Linked DNA regions of Rattus norvegicus. The protein of the gene in region 4 interacts with the protein of the main gene of each other region in a biochemical or structural test. Links are inferred from orthologs where the notes say so. Each region holds a gene or a part of one and is shown on either strand. Other genes may lie near its edges.

Region 1 (3,981 bases), on a different chromosome or scaffold from region 4:
TCGAAAACAAAAGGCTACATGTAAATGCATGTGTATAATGTGGGATTTTAAGTCCATTCAAAGAAGAATCACATAAGTAAAAACTGAAGATACAATTTGCTTTGGATATTTTCACAATTAAGCTAATTCCTTAACTCTGCCTCTCTACCTCAACTAATATTCAGACTGATAAACAGCATTTAAAGTGACTCATTGAGCAAGGCCTACTAAGTCCATTATTTCTGCATCTCCCCATAATTCACTTTTGGATCTTTATGAATATGAACCTGTAGTATTCCCCAGACCCCAACACTCATCTGGAAAAGTCCATTCTTTCCTCAATACACAGCTAAAGGCCCACACTTACAAGAAATATACAACAAGGCTTTGCATTTTCAGAGGATCAACACCATATCAATTCAACAGCTTCCACATATTATTTCCAAAGCTGTTGTCTGTCCCTTTCCTATCAGCTGCTTCACTTCCTTTCTATCTCACAAAAGGAAGGTGTCCTTCCATCCCCATCTTATACCTTGCACTGTCAAAAGGTGAGCTACTATGTGTCCATTACAAACATTTAAAAAAGATAAAACTAGTGAGGTCCTAACTATGAGACAATTTGAGATCATAAGGCGCACCAGATACCTAAGTCTATTTCTTTAAAAGATGCACTTTCAATAAAAATTTTGCTTTTTGCTTAAAACATAAGTCACTTGGTTTTTACCCATTATCCACTATGAATTAACTATGGTTATAATTTATCGGGTATTAAAACCAAAGAAAATAGCACTTTATATGCTTTTTGATGTAGCATGCTGGAGTGGTAAGAACTTTTAAATTACAATAGGATAAATTTGGGGGAGAAATAAGGTAGGAATATTCAGAAGAAAAAGCAACCGTACAAAACAGCTGAAGCATTTGCTCACCTTTGAAAAGCAGAAACCACAACTCCCAAGTTGGTATAATTGGGTATGTAAAAGGTTAAGGTATATTTTTGCATGTTTAAAGCTTACACTAAAAACTTTTAGATATGGATTTAAAAATTCTCAAGAGTAAGTAATTATATTCTATTTTACAAACATCAGCAGAGAAAGGAAACTAAAAGCACATTTTGGAGGCATATTATAATCCAGGGAGTAAAGTATCAGATTCCAGTCTGGGGAAAAGGAATACAGAAAATGGAAGAATCAGTTTGTGGTAAAGAGGCAGAGTCAGTGGGGACGAAGGAGATAGATTCAAGCAAGCTTAGGGGAATTTTTTTGAAAAGGTCATAATGAGGACTATGGAGTCTTTGAGTGACTCTCAGTTTTTAGCTGGGATACCAGTTTAATAATGTCAGTCCCCAAAGTAGGTAACAAATTTTGGGGAAATGCCAACTCAGTTTGGGGCTTCAAAATGTAAGATGCTTGTGTGCCTGTCTAGATTAAGATCAACACACACAGCTTTTACAGAAACTAATCCAAAATATAGGGACTGGAATAATGTGAGCACAGTGGATCCTTACTTAAGGCTATAATCATCCAAGCAAGTGGGCACAGCAACCCAGGAGGGGAAAAAGAAAGGAGACACACAGATTTCAGGAGGTAACAATAAAGGAATTCCAATGCCTATCACTGAACCAGTATCTGTAAACAGGAACGACAGGCTGAAAAGTGGATAGATAGAAAATATGTCACATAGGAAAAGAAGGTGGAGTTGAAACTCAGATGCTGTAACTCCAAAGACCACTCACAAGCATTGTGCAGGGCGGCCATTCCTAACACAGGGGGAGTTTTGTAAAGTTCTAGGAGAGAAATGAGCAAGCAGAATGTTAACTACAAGAGTATCCAAGGAGGAGTAAGAATACAAAGTTTTTGATCCGAGCAGGACCTCAAGGAGCTTTTCCTCTTCTCAACATTATTAGGCCCACTCTTCAAAGTCTTAGTTTAATCACACATAAACCCAATCGCATTGCCAATGTTTCTGTAAAGCTGCCCAAGAGAACTGTAGGAAATGAGTTGGCCTTCTATATGCTAACAGGAGAATATGGCTGAATTCCACCGTGCAGAGAAAAACGAATTTAATCCTGTTTCTGGAAATACCTAGGCATCAAAACACATTTGAAACAATACCTTTCCATCTATTACCCGTGGTCGCCTCGTGGGGGTAGCTATGGGCATCTTTTAGTCTGTATTTTAGAACTTTTCAGAACCTGCAGAGATGGGGGAGGGGGCTTTGGCGCCGAAAAAGCAAGATTTAAGCGACTTCTCTGCCTGACTGAGTTCCTCAACTGCGGGCCACGCGCGCTAGTGCACGACAACGAACTTGCAGGGATCGCTAAGGTTCTGCAAAGATCGTACATCGCCTGTGCCAGTGCGTCCCCCATCCCCGACACACACCAGCCAGCTAACTCTAGTTAACGCGCGATATTGACGTAAGCAGCCAGGGGCCCGGGGCGCCAGTTAACGTCCTAACTTCGGCCTCCGTTCCGAACTAAAAAGCTCGGTTACGGTGAAGAGTGTCCTTCCAGAAGGAACCCGAGTACGAGGTTCTTCGGCGGTCCTCACTCGCCCGGATTCGCTCCTGCCGCGGGAGAACTCGAGGCCCGGAGTCGGCAGCGATCCAAGGTGGAGCGCCTGGGGGGAGGTGGTTCCCGCCACGGCCGTTGGGACCGTTACTCACCGTTCCTCAGGACGCCGAGCTGCGGCTGGCGGAGCACCGAGTTGAAGAGCATTTCGTCCTGAGGAGAAGACTCAGCTGAGGAGAACGCCGAGGAGATCGCCCCCAAGTTCCGCCGGAGCCTCCGCTTGCGCCCTCCACAGCGCGACACGGTTTTGCCTCCAACTCCCGCCACTGCGAGCCCCGGCCGCCAAACTCCGCGCCAAACTGACGTCATGCTCTCTGATTGGCTCTCGTCGCAGCGTTCTGGAGCCTCGGAGGCTCGGCCCCATTCTAAGCCCCGCCTTCCTCTCGCTCAGCCGCGGGAACCCAGGGTTCACAAACCCCCTGAGCGCCTGCGCGGGGGGGGCCACAGAAGCGCGGGCGAACCGCCGGGCGGCCCGGGCGCATGCGTACACTGCCTGACAGCTCACGGAGGGAAAAATCCGCGAGACCGCGGCGGGAGAAGATGGCGGTGCAGGGGAAGAGTTTGCAATCTTTGTGACTAGGCGAGTCCGGTAACTATAAGGATCATGGCGTCAAACTCAACCAAGTCTTTCCTGGCCGATGCCGGCTATGGCGAACAGGAGCTGGACGCTAACTCCGCTCTTATGGAACTGGACAAAGGTACGGAAGGAGGGGAACGGGAGAGGCATCTGGGGGGAGTGGCGCCACCTTGTGGCGGCAGCTAGAGGAGCTAGGAAGGCGCATGCGCCGATGTATGGGGCGGGAAGCGCCGCTGTCTTGGATCCTGCGTTTGGGCGCTTGCTGTGCTGTTGGAGTGGCCTTGCACAGCGGGAGCAGAGGACTGCGCTAGCGAGTACGCCTTTGACCACTTGGGGTTACAGTCTCAGATTTCCCATACAGTAAATGAGACAATTCCTAAAAATCCTGAAGTCGGAGATTATATTTTAAAACGTTCAGTGCAGGTGAAACCTTCATCAAGAGAGCCATATGGTTTCCTGAGCGTTTTATAGCGATTTGTCTTGTGAGACTTCGAATGGCGCGTTCTATAACAGGTTCCATAAGGATGAGAACATGGTTCCATAAGGAAGAGCATGGCTGAACGCGCGCATTCTCTGCAGACAAGTTCCACGAGTTAGCGTCCCTTGTGCAGGTAGCCAAGAGAAATGACTTTAGGGTTAGGAGTTGAATTCCAGTTCTACGAAAGCGATTATGGGAAGCGACGTTATCAACTAGCCTGATTTGTCTGCAAAGTGGGCAATTTAAATGGCAGTGATATGCAAAAAGATGCATCTATTAAATGCTGAAGAGATACTCCTTTGTCTCCGGGTGGATAAGTCGCTAGGCAAGGACAGATAGTTATCTGTAAAGAAGTCCTGTGTTAATGTGAGACGTTTGTTT
Region 2 (3,937 bases), on a different chromosome or scaffold from region 4:
AGTTTATTTCAGTAACTCTGGTCCAGCCACAATCCAGAAAACATTCAGAGGCTTTCGTCTTTTTTTTGTCTTGTGTTCATTTTTGTTGTTGTTTTTGTTTCTTGAGGCAGTCTCAGGATGTTAACTCTGGCTGACCTAGAACTCACAATCTTCCTACATCGGTCTCTGGGGTGTTGGAATTTAAAGTATGTACAGCCACAGCTATTTGAAGCTTATATCTCTTACTTATCCACAGGAACCATCTTAGCAAAATACAGAATGATTCAGTCATAATGTGAACATTTCTGAAATGCCAGGAGACGGCCCAAATTGACTTTGGTAATTCCCAAGATATAGCATCAAGTAGTGGTTCACACTGGTAATCCAGTACTTGAGGTAGGGGCAGGAAGATCAAAGAGCTCAAGGTCATCCTCAGCTGCACAGTCGATTTAAAGCTGGCCTGGAACACAAGAGGTCCACTCTGCCTCAAAAACTCCAAAACAACCATACACAAACCAAAAAAATATACGAAAATTAATCAAGCAAAACTTGTATGAATTATAAAGAAAAGTAGAGAAGCTTAAGAGTCTCATTCCTATAACCTCACCCACCACCAAGTTTATCTGTCTCAATTCAACTTAAACTTCTGCTGGTTCTTTCTTACAGAAACATTCAAAATGTTTCTAACCTTTTTCTTCATGACATATACAGCAATCACCATTTCTTATCTGTCACTCATTGGGAGTCACTAAGACACACTTACAACTATAAAGTCACAGCAGGCAATGTTACTTCTACCTCTACTTTCTTTGCTTTGGTATATTTTTTCCATAATAAAAGTTCTCTTCAAAGAAGATATAATTTTGGCCTAATTACCCAATCAAGAATCTACACACTTATAAAAAGTACCAAGGTCCTTATAACTAAGAAATTGCTTATGATCAAAAGATTTGATTTTCATGGACCATCAAAATGGCTCAGAAAATAAAATGGGATTACTGTCAAGCCAGATAACCTGAGTTCACTATAGACTAGGAGGAGAGAACAGACTCCTGAAAATTGTCCTCTGACAAACACATGCATGTATGGCATGCCCATGTGCAGACACACACACAAACAGGCAATCAACCAATCATTCAATCTATCACCTTCATTTAAATCTTGCCAATCTCAGGGGTAGATCTCTGTGACAGAGCATGTGTATGTGGCCATGGGTTCAAAATTCCCAGCACTACTAAAGAAGAGAAAGAATAATAAGCCTCACTAACCTTACACATACATTAAAGAAAAAATTAGAGAAACAATGTAAAATTCTATCATCTTTCCAAAGTTCATAAAGCATCTTAAAACTGTGTAGAAACAGAATTTCTTACGACCTTAAAGTCATTCTCCTATGAATTTTACATACTGTGGAAACTTATCCAACCTAGAATGACTAGGATCATGACACTTGATCAAACAGAATTAACAAAAACACTTGACCTTAAGACCTTGAGAAAGAAAAGAGAAACAGTGAAATTCACAAAAAGATTCATTTTCAATTTAACTAAGTTTGAATAGTTTCTACACAGACTTTTGAACTCTTAATAAAATGACTAAACTACTAACCAAATACAAAAAAAAAAAGTTTCAAAAGAGTCTCCTTAGACTCCCTCTAGATACCTCCTAGAAAAGACCTTCCCAAGAACCTAAGTTCAAAGTCTTAACCATCTTCCATCTTGCACTAAGTACTTAATCCCATAGCAGAAAAGAGTTAGAGTAAGCTGAAGAGTGGAATCAGTATTAATCAGAAGTAAAGTGGAAGTAAACAAAATTATTTATGAGAAAACAAAAACAAACTATCCTTACTACTTTTGCTAAAATACAAATTTCGAAAAGACAAATCCAGTCAAAAAATATTCCTTGCTCCCTTAATGTCTGAAGCCTCCAGTAACACAATAAATGTTTCTTAAGAAAGAAGAGTTCCAAGTAGTCAAATGAGAAATCACTGTTAAGTTAAAAGTGACCAGTAAAATGGGAGAAAGAGAAGGGTCAACTGTTAAAGACAAAAACAAACAGCATATTTAATGCTCTGTCGGGGTCATAGGGAAAAGTCAGGTCCCATACCTCAGCCTCAGTTTCCCTACTCCAAAAGAATAGAACCTGACATTTCGTTCCAAGGAGCTGGAGGGCCTAGTTTCAAGAGCCTCCACCAACTCAAAGGGCACTCCGAGGCTAGCCTCAGCGTGGGTCACCAGTGCAACTGAGGAATGACGTCCGGAACATGAGTTGCAGGAAAGGAGAGAGAGAATTGGGTCTAAGAGAGCCAAGCTCCCACAATCTAGGGGTGACGACACGAGTCCAGGACCAGACATCCCCTCTCTACAGAACCCGGCCAATAGCTTCAGCATCTCTCCCTCCTTCCGGCTTCTCCCTCAGTTCCGGGCAGCCCTCCGGCCGCGCCCCCAGGCGCAACCCCCTTCACGACGCGCGCCCCGACGGGCCGCGCGCTCGCCCACCGGCCGGCGCCAAGGTCTCCTCCTGCCTTCGGCGGAAGGATGCCGGACCGGGCCTCCCAGGCTCCTCCCGGGCCTACCTGCGAGGCGAGTGAGAGCTTGGCCGGAAGGCCAACGAGCGCACGGAGCCACGGACGGAAGGCGGGGAGAGGCTGAAGGAAGCGAGGGGCCCGCTCGACCGACCAGCGGAAGAAAGCGGCCAGAGCCCGGGGTCTCCCGGATAACTCAGTCCAGGACCTGGCACCGCCGCCGCCGCTCTGGAGACATCAACCTAGAAGACGCTGCAAAAGATCATCGAACACACGAACGCCCAGACATCAAAGGAAGAGCGCCCAAGCAATCGTTCAAGGAACTGCAGCCGAGTGCCGAAACATTGCTCAGCTCCTGCTGCAAGTCCCGCTGCCTTCCTAGGCATAAATAAACAAATTCAGATCATAAGCTAAAGCATAGAGTAGGCTGGGTTTCTGCCATTTTCTCTTGGTGACCGAGTGTTGAAGTAATTTAGAGAACTAAATTTCGGAGACAGCAAGCACGGTTGTAATCCCAGGAATTTAGGAAGAGGAGGCATTTGGAGGATATGGAGTTCAAAGTCATACTCAGTTAAGAGCAAGGCCAACCTGGACTATATGAGACCTTGTCTTAAGTGAAAAAGGAATTAGTCTTTTGTGAACACGTTGATTGAAGATAAATCATACTAGAATAAAGCTCTCCTTAATAGTTCAACGATTGCCCTACACTTACAGACTTCTTACACTACTTGTCCCAGTTGAACAAATGACTTCGCTTCTTTTGATTCTTGATTTCCTCTCAGAGCTGAAGAAAACGGAATAATCTCTATGAATGCCCCAGTTCAATCCAGGAGAACATAGAACAGCTTAAGGTGGGAGGGGAAAGTTCCTGTACCTTGTTTTTAAATTTTTATGATTTGACTTAGTTTGTTTTGCCAGACAAGGTTTCTCTGTGTACCCTTGGCTATCCTGGAACTGGTTCTGTAGACCAGGCTGGCCTCCAGCTCACCCAGATCTGCCTGCCTCTGCCTCTGGAGTGCTGGGATTAAAGGTGAGCACCACAACCTCCCAGCCTGTTCTTTTCTTTTTCTCACTTCTCTCTCTCTCTTTTTTTTTTCTTCCAAAGATCTAAAGCCACAGTCCACAAATGTGCTTTTAATTAGCTAAGTAGCTAGTTAGTTAACTAATTAGTTTTTAGAGACAGGATTTCATGTAACCCACACACTGGTCTTGAACTCTATGTAGCCAAGAATGACTTTGAAACTCTGATGTGCTTGTCTTCATGTTCCAAATTTGGAGTGTGCCTGAGGGATTGTGAGAGGTTGAGGTGGGGGCTCACACTCTGTAGCCTGGCTTGCTTGGAACTCACTATGTAGCCCAAACTGAGCTCAAGCTCACAGCCATCCTTTTGCCTCCGAGTCCTGGAATTATAAGTAACCATGCCTGAGGGGTTTT
Region 3 (4,070 bases), on a different chromosome or scaffold from region 4:
TGTCTCCAAAAATAACAACATGCAATCTACTTCAAACACTCAAGTACCTACGGGTTCTGACCCTGCTTTGTATTCACTGGTAAAGAAGACAATTGGGCACACGAGGATGACCGCCATTTCTCTCTTCCTCAACGCCTTCCCACCCGCCCCGAGTTACTTACAAAGATCCATAATGTGGTTCCTGCAGATGGCACAGTTATCAACCACAATATCCCAGGCCCAGAGGGCTACTGCATTCCACTGCAAGGAGAAGAGGGGAAACAATGCATTTTCTGGGTAACATAACAGACTCGTTAGGATTTCAGCTGCGGCTTCAGTTACCAACTCCCTGGCCATAGGGCCTAGCAAAGAAAGAATGATTTTTGGATTGCATTATTTGTACAACATCAGAGGGTAACAGCAGACCACGTGTACACTTCCTCATTCCTGAACATGGGTACTTTTAATTTTTTTTTTTTTTTACTTTTATTTATTTACTCTCCATTAGTTTAAATCTGGGATGGGTACAGCATCACACGGATTCTGTGTCCAATGGCCTTTGCAGGAAGGTTGCTTTGGAATTTGGCACGAACCACGCCACTGTTTCCATGGGCCCGAGTTACTTTTCCCCAGATCACTCTGGTTTTGTTTGGTTTGCCTCCAGGAGTCACTGTATTGTTTTTTGCTTTGTACACATAAGCACACCTCTTGCCTAAGTAGAACTCAGTTTCATCTCGGGCATAAACGCCTTCAATTTTTTTTTTTTTTTCGGAGCTGGGGACCGAACCCAGGACCTTGCGCTTCTTAGGCAAGCGCTCTACCACTGAGCTAAATCCCCAACCCCAAACGCCTTCAATTTTAAGAAGAGCCGTGTACTCTCTTTGGTTCAGGAGGCCTGGCTTGTAGCCAGCAAAAATGGCCTTGCACCACAGCCTTCCAGACATACTTGTTTTTTTTAGAAGTCCTGTTCCCAGTGGGCTTCCAAAGGCGCCAAGATGGCGGAAAGAGGAAGGCAAGCCCCACCGCGCCAATTTTTTTTTTTTTGGTCTATAGCATAAAATAATTTAGCTAGCCAAACCGACGTGGGAATATTAGAGCTATTTTTTGAACACCCATTTTAGCTTCAAGTACAAACTTGAACTAATGTGGAGCTGTTCCTGACAGATGTGGTCGAACTCAAAATCTGCCTAAGTATTTGCTCTCCACGCAGTTTTGGACTCGGAGGAAGAGAGGTGAACAGACTGAACTACGATAATAAATGGATCAATCGCTAAGGGGATAATCGTGGGATAAGCTGGATAGTGAGTTACCTACCCAGTGTCAGCACACAGAACAAGGTCATCACTTACACCTCACAGCACTGCAAGCAAGTCAATCCAGTGCAATTTTCTTGTCCTCTTACCAAGGAAACTGATGTTCCCAACGTTCATATGTCCAAACTATTATTTTGCTAGTTCTAGTAAATTGATCCAAGACTTACACTGGGCAGGACACCCCTTTCTTTCTTTTTTTTTTTTCTTTTTTCTTTTTTTCTGGAGCTGGGGACCGAACCCAGGGCCTTGCGCTTGCTAGACAAGCGCTCTACCACTGAGCTAAATCCCCAACCCCTAGGACACCCCTTTCAAGGACTACTTTGGTTTGACTTCTCAAATTCAAGTATTCGAGTCTAGTAAATTCGACATTATTTCTATTATTCTTCCATATGGCTGCAGGCCGTAACTGAGCAGCAGTGGCCACAATGAGATGACAAAAAAAGAGTGGGGTGGGGAGGTGTTCTCAGCGACTCTTTCCAAAAGTAATACATACAAAAAAAAAAAAAACAAAAACAAAAAGGAAAAAAAACCCCAAACAAACCAACAAAAAACCAAAAACACCTTCCCCACTTCAAGATCTTCATTTTGAGCAGATTTATGTAATCTTAGGTAGGAACGGGCACTTTTCTCTTAAAGTGCTAGAAAACTATGAAGGGAATAGAATACAAAAGGACGTTTCATATTTTTTGTGTTCCCAGGTCATTAACAATTAGTACTCCGCCTTCTTAAATGGCACAAGTTCTGGGCTTGCTTTTAAAACAAAGCCCACCAGACTTTTTAAATTACCATTTTGTGTTAGAAGTGTACACGGGCATTAGAGAACCATTGGAGTGGCAGAAGCTATGTGACAACTAGTACACGTCTCGGAAGAACCAAGCTTTACACTTGAGACTGTGGGTTTAGAAGGCTAATGGAGGCCGCCATACAATCGAGGGCCCACACCAGGTCCCTCGGAGTCAATAGATTCTAGGATCCAGGAAGGGGCGGAGCAAGAACACCGGCAGAGCTCTTCTGCGGTGTCATCGCACGTTCCCGGGTTTCTCCGCACAGCCCCATCCTCCACCCGCCGCAGTCTCTTCACGAGTCTCCATCCTACCCACCCCACCCTGTCCTTCCCCCAACTCTCAGTCACTTCAGTGACAGCTTAAGCGCTTGGCTCCCGCACCGAAGTTAACCTCGCGTATTTCAGTAAGCAGCTCTGCGATTGGACCCACAGCTTTCCCAGCGAAACTAATATGGCCAAGACAGTGGGCCACCATCATGCCGATCAACCCTAGGCCCGCCCCCCGGCTTCCTTTAGTGGTACCCGGTCCCAGGAACGCCCTGAAATGAAGCCCTTTCCCCCGCGCCTAGCTCTTCCTCGGGCCTGCCAGCCATATCCGCGCCTCCCTAGATTCCTTGAGGAAGGCGCTGGCGAGACCCAACCTTTTTAACTTCAAAGCGCTTCTTGCCCGCGCCGCTGTTGGTGCCGCTGGGGGTATCCACATCCATCGCCGCCGCCATTTTGGAAACACACTGTCGTGCGACCACTGCGCCTGCGCATCGGCTCACTTTCCGCCGCCTGCCCTCTCGCCAGGCTCCTCCTCTCGCACCCCTCCCCTTATTGGCGCGTGCGGGTAGAAGGGGCGGAGGCTGCGGTCACGCCCCTTAAAGGCGCAGGCGGAGGTTCCCCGTCGCTCTCAGCTGGGGAGGAGGCTGGAGTGATTGAGGCGGGGTCGGGCGGGGCCGGGCGGAGCCGGGCGGGGCCGAGCGAAGGGAGCCAACTGGTGGGAATGTCCCTGAGGTCTGAATACTGCTCGCCTTCTGGGAAACCCTGTGGCCTGACTCCTTCTTCTGGGGCGGCGGCTGCTTCCTCCTTCTGCCCCAGAATTTATACCTGATCCAGACCCACAGCGCTGCCCCCAAGGCCGCGGTGCAAAGGGCATGGGCTGGTCTGTGGAAACCCGAAACTCCAAAACGTTCAAAACGGCCTTCTGCTGACCGTGGCCGGCTTGGGGGCCCTGTGACTCGGCTTTCCAAGGCCCGGGCACGGTCTGCGTTCTCAACTTCAGTTTGGGAAATTATTTGATAGGGAGAGAGAGGCCTGAATGTTCTGCCCAGGAACAAACAGAGCAGGCATTCTGCAGCTCTGCCTTCACCTTCTCACCAGAAAGACACGGAGAACACGTAGGAGCCTGGGAGATGCCATCCTCCTTTCTCCCCATTTCCCATCCGAGTTTTGCTACTTGTGCTACAGTTAAATTAGTACATTTGTAGTGGCCAAACTTGAATTTGGGTGAGGCATTCTGATTTTCTTACCGGTCATTACCACCGAGCTAAGAACCTGTATCTTTTGTCATGCTTCCATGTTTAGCCCAGCCCTCCACTGTTTTATCTCCTAAATTTGCAGAGGTATGACTAGAATACATCACCCTCGAACTTCTTATGTGTTCTAGTTCCCTCAACAGGACAACAATGACGTTTTATCTGAAATGCCCACTTGAAAGAAATACTGGCGTGCAATTCAGTGTGCTGTTGATGTCCTTGCTGAGCAGGGCAATACATCCGGAAACACCACCACAGTTTTAACTTGCACAAAGAAGACTTGCTACAGCCTGCAAGGAGTGTGTGTGTTGGCCCAAGTTCTACCTCCCACACTAAAATCGTCATTGATTTATGTGTCAATAGACTCCCTAAGGGATGCTAGAAACCCATAGTTAATTAAGATACTGAGGGCATAGTTATCCATTCTTCAACAACTATCTTGAGCATGCTACTTGGTCTTTTAATTTTTGTTTT
Region 4 (3,500 bases):
TGGACATTTGTACTGGATCATGCCCATACAGTGACCAATTCAAGTTTACCAGAACCACTGCTAGACATTTTCAACAGACACAGAAAATGCTTGACCACTAGACTAGGATAAAGCCAGAAGCCTCTGTAACAGATTTAACAAATATTTATATAGGTAACCAAGCATAAGGTATAACTCAGTCTAATAACCAAATCTGTCAAATGCCAAGACATCTCCAGAAAAGTAAGATTCAAAAGATATATAGTAACTAACTTCAAAAATTTCAGTCACATTTACTCACTAAACGTTGAAGTACAGAGAGTGGCTTTTGTAAACTGGGTATTTGCTAAACAAAGTTCTTTTGTAAAACACATGTACAAATATAGGAAATGAATGTGTGTTATTCCAAATGACTTTAAGTCTTTGAATATAGAAAAATTATATTTGAAAATTAGTGTCTAAAAATTAAACATATTCCCTTTCACCTATAACACGTTCAGTATGGAGACAAAGAAAAACCTACTTTTACTGGAAATTTTAGCTGATTGTAGACTTCTGAAACAAGAAGGTTGTGGCTAAGTGTTTTTCTCATCTTCATAATTCGGACGATCGCAGCATCAATTTGGTACTGTCTATCTTGAAATACTCTTTCTGTAGTGCTTGCTTGTTCTTCAACCTAAAACAAGTTTTCAAATACAGTCAACTTAATTAGGAACACAAATTGTATATTAGGGACATAATGTTATTGTTCTAAAGAACCTGACTTATTTAAATGAGAGAAAAAAACTTGACATAGTTTTCTTTCTGTTGCCACTACTGCCCTGTACCAATAAATTAATGCAATACAGGAAAAGAGAAAAATACCACCCTTGAGCATTAGGAGGTAGGTTCAGTTGCTTTCCCTGCAAACATAAGGACCTATTTCTTACATTTAGATCTTTGTGAACTCATGTAAAAAGATTCCTAGTGCCTGATGGACAGCCTGCCAGCGTAGCTAATTTGTGAGTTCTAGGCAAGTAAGAAACAATGTCAAGAAACAAGGTAGATAGCTCCAAAGGAATAACTCTGGAGGTTGTCTACTGACCTTCCCTAAAATTTAAAATGTTTATACCAACTGATGCAAAAACTTACTTCCATAAGTTCATGTGCATTGGTCTTTTACTTGCATGCATGCATGTATGCATATATACAGATACATATATATATACAGATATGTGTGTGTGTGTGTGTGTGTGTGTGAGCATAATAGATCTTCTAGAACTGAAGTTACAGATAGTTGTGAACTGTCATGTGGGGACCAGGAACCTGGGTTCTCTGGAACAGGAGGCACTGCTCTTAATTTTGCTGAGCCATCTCTCCGTCCCCCATGAAGTCATTTTAAGGAAAAGATCATAGAGATGAAGATTTAGGTATTTCAAGATTATATAACTATTTGGCACTCTGTTGATTTTTTCATGTGTGTTGGGGTATTCCTGTTATATGGGTGTAGTTGGGGACATCAGAGGAAAACCTTGGGCATTAGAGCTCAGGTGCCTTTCATTTCTGTTTGAGACAGGGCTCTTTATCAGCTTGAAACTTTGCCCTATACCCTAAGCTACCTGGTCCATGAGCCTCCAAGGATGTACTTTACTTTGACTTCCATTTCCTATCACTGAGATATGAGACACTTATTTTAAAAAAAAAAGAGTAAAGAGACACAACCATTCTAGATATCCATCATCAGATGAATGATTAACACTATAGAAATTTATATAGCCATAAAGAATAAAATGATGTAATCTGTAGGATAATGAATGATAATGGAGATCCTGTTCAGCAAAATAAACCAGACTTAAGGAAAATACATTTTGTTTGACATGTGGAATCCAGATCTAAATACACACACACACACACACACACACACACACACACACACACACACACACACGACATTAAAGTAGACATGAGTATTGAAGGAAAAAGGAAAACTCTGGGTTTGATTATATATGCAGTGTGTATGCACTAAAAGATTATATATGCAGTGTGTGAACATGCATGCTCATGCAAAAGACGGACATGTTAAAGCAAAGCGAGACAACTATTTGGGAGAAAGGAGACCAGCAAGTGATGGTGGTCCAGGACAGTGAGGAACTGAATATGAACAAGGAACACTACACATAGGGAAATTAAAGTAATAAGGAGGGGGCTGGAGAGGTGGCTCAGCTGTTAAGAGCACTGACTGCTCTTCCAGAGGTCCTGAGTGCAATTCCCAGCAACCACATGGTGGCTCACAGTCATCTGTAAGGAGATCTGATGCCCTCTTCTGGTGCGTCTGAAGACAGCTATTATGCACTTACATAGAATAAATAAATCTTTCTTTAAAAAAAAAGTAACAAGGAAGAGAAACAAAACAAAATCACATTGATGGGATAAAGAAATAACTCAATGGAAGAACACAAATGGTCATGCATTCCTCATCCCTAGCAATGCAAACCCAAGCAAGCAAAACAAACAAACATATTATCAAATACTGAAATGTATTAGGCCAGATATAGGCACAGAAAATGTTACATGAAATGGTATTGAGAAAATAAACTGTAAATTTTGAAGCTGGAAAGATGGCTTAGCAGCTAAAGAGAACATGAGTTCGATTCCCAACATCCATGTGGCTGTTCACAAACATTTCTAATTTCAGCTCCAATGGATCCAATGTCCCCTTCTTACATGTGGGCCCCAGCCCTGATGCGGTACACAAATGTACATGCAGATAAAACACTCAAGCATATAATATAAATTCTTTAATCTGTAAATTTCTACTATAAACACATTTAATCCAATATACTAGGAGTAGGAGAAAGCAAAAGGTTTACCGTTTCTTTCATCTGGATTTGATTGATCTTTATCCTGAATAGTTTGTGTTTGAAATCATCATTACAAATAAACTTGTCACCATCTTCAATATCTTTGCCCTTTGGATTTTTAGCCAGAACTCTAGCTTTGCCACAGGCTAGTGACTGCAGTGTTCTTCTTAATTCTCCATCCTCTGAAGAAGAAATAATGATTAGTTATTTATTTGTACCTTATTAGCATGAGCACCACATTCAATGTCATTCTATCTCTGACATTCTCTAATAAACTGCTTTGGTTTCCCCACTGTCACCAACTCCTGCTCTTTGTGCTATCCAGTAAAATTTTGTTCTACTTGTCTTGTAAAAGCATCTATTTATCATCCATGCAGACAATTACCAAAACCTCTGATGCAACGTTTCCCTTCTCTCAAGTCAGTTACTAAAAGGACACTCAACTTGGCTGTTTTACTATCACTTGAGTGTGTTGATATTCTCCATTCACCCTCTGCTCCACTGCTAGTGATGGTAATACTAACCTAATCCTATGAAAAGTCTAGACTCACCTTTTAAGTCTTCATTCTCCTTCATTGTACTATAGCTCTAGTAATTCCATTGCTGTTGGAAACATCCTACTACAAGCCTCTTTTAGAACTTTGTCAGAATTATCTTCATAGCTTCTAGACTAGAATTTTC

Evidence for each region.
Region 1: the proteins of Cul4b (region 4) and Dtl form a complex in vitro, tested with the Homo sapiens proteins (2 studies listed by BioGRID). The link is inferred for Rattus norvegicus from reciprocal best matches to the Homo sapiens genes CUL4B and DTL.
Region 2: the proteins of Cul4b (region 4) and Ambra1 form a complex in vitro, tested with the Homo sapiens proteins (2 studies listed by BioGRID, with this or other methods). The link is inferred for Rattus norvegicus from reciprocal best matches to the Homo sapiens genes CUL4B and AMBRA1.
Region 3: the proteins of Cul4b (region 4) and Rbx1 form a complex in vitro, tested with the Homo sapiens proteins (4 studies listed by BioGRID, with this or other methods). The link is inferred for Rattus norvegicus from reciprocal best matches to the Homo sapiens genes CUL4B and RBX1.

What each region holds. Positions count from the first base shown.
Region 1 is NC_086031.1:105,683,122-105,687,102, forward strand, and holds the start of Dtl (denticleless protein homolog), read right to left. Parts: upstream 2,801-3,981; 5' UTR 2,693-2,800; coding exon 2,641-2,692; intron 2,619-2,640; exon of another isoform or gene 2,358-2,618; intron 2,346-2,357; exon of another isoform or gene 2,091-2,345; intron 2,078-2,090; exon of another isoform or gene 1-2,077. Other genes in the region: Ints7 (integrator complex subunit 7), read left to right, coding at 3,150-3,243. UniProt on the Homo sapiens protein: Substrate-specific adapter of a DCX (DDB1-CUL4-X-box) E3 ubiquitin-protein ligase complex required for cell cycle control, DNA damage response and translesion DNA synthesis.
Region 2 is NC_086021.1:98,155,489-98,159,425, reverse strand, and holds the start of Ambra1 (activating molecule in BECN1-regulated autophagy protein 1), read right to left. Parts: upstream 2,801-3,937; 5' UTR 2,555-2,800; intron 2,244-2,554; exon of another isoform or gene 2,086-2,243; intron 1-2,085. UniProt on the Homo sapiens protein: Substrate-recognition component of a DCX (DDB1-CUL4-X-box) E3 ubiquitin-protein ligase complex involved in cell cycle control and autophagy.
Region 3 is NC_086025.1:114,869,709-114,873,778, reverse strand, and holds the start of Rbx1 (E3 ubiquitin-protein ligase RBX1), read right to left. Parts: upstream 2,801-4,070; 5' UTR 2,796-2,800; coding exon 2,718-2,795; intron 241-2,717; coding exon 162-240; intron 1-161. UniProt on the Homo sapiens protein: E3 ubiquitin ligase component of multiple cullin-RING-based E3 ubiquitin-protein ligase (CRLs) complexes which mediate the ubiquitination and subsequent proteasomal degradation of target proteins, including proteins involved in cell cycle progression, signal transduction, transcription and transcription-coupled nucleotide excision repair.
Region 4 is NC_086039.1:122,157,800-122,161,299, forward strand, and holds part of Cul4b (cullin-4B), read right to left. Parts: intron 3,002-3,500; coding exon 2,829-3,001; intron 656-2,828; coding exon 503-655; intron 1-502.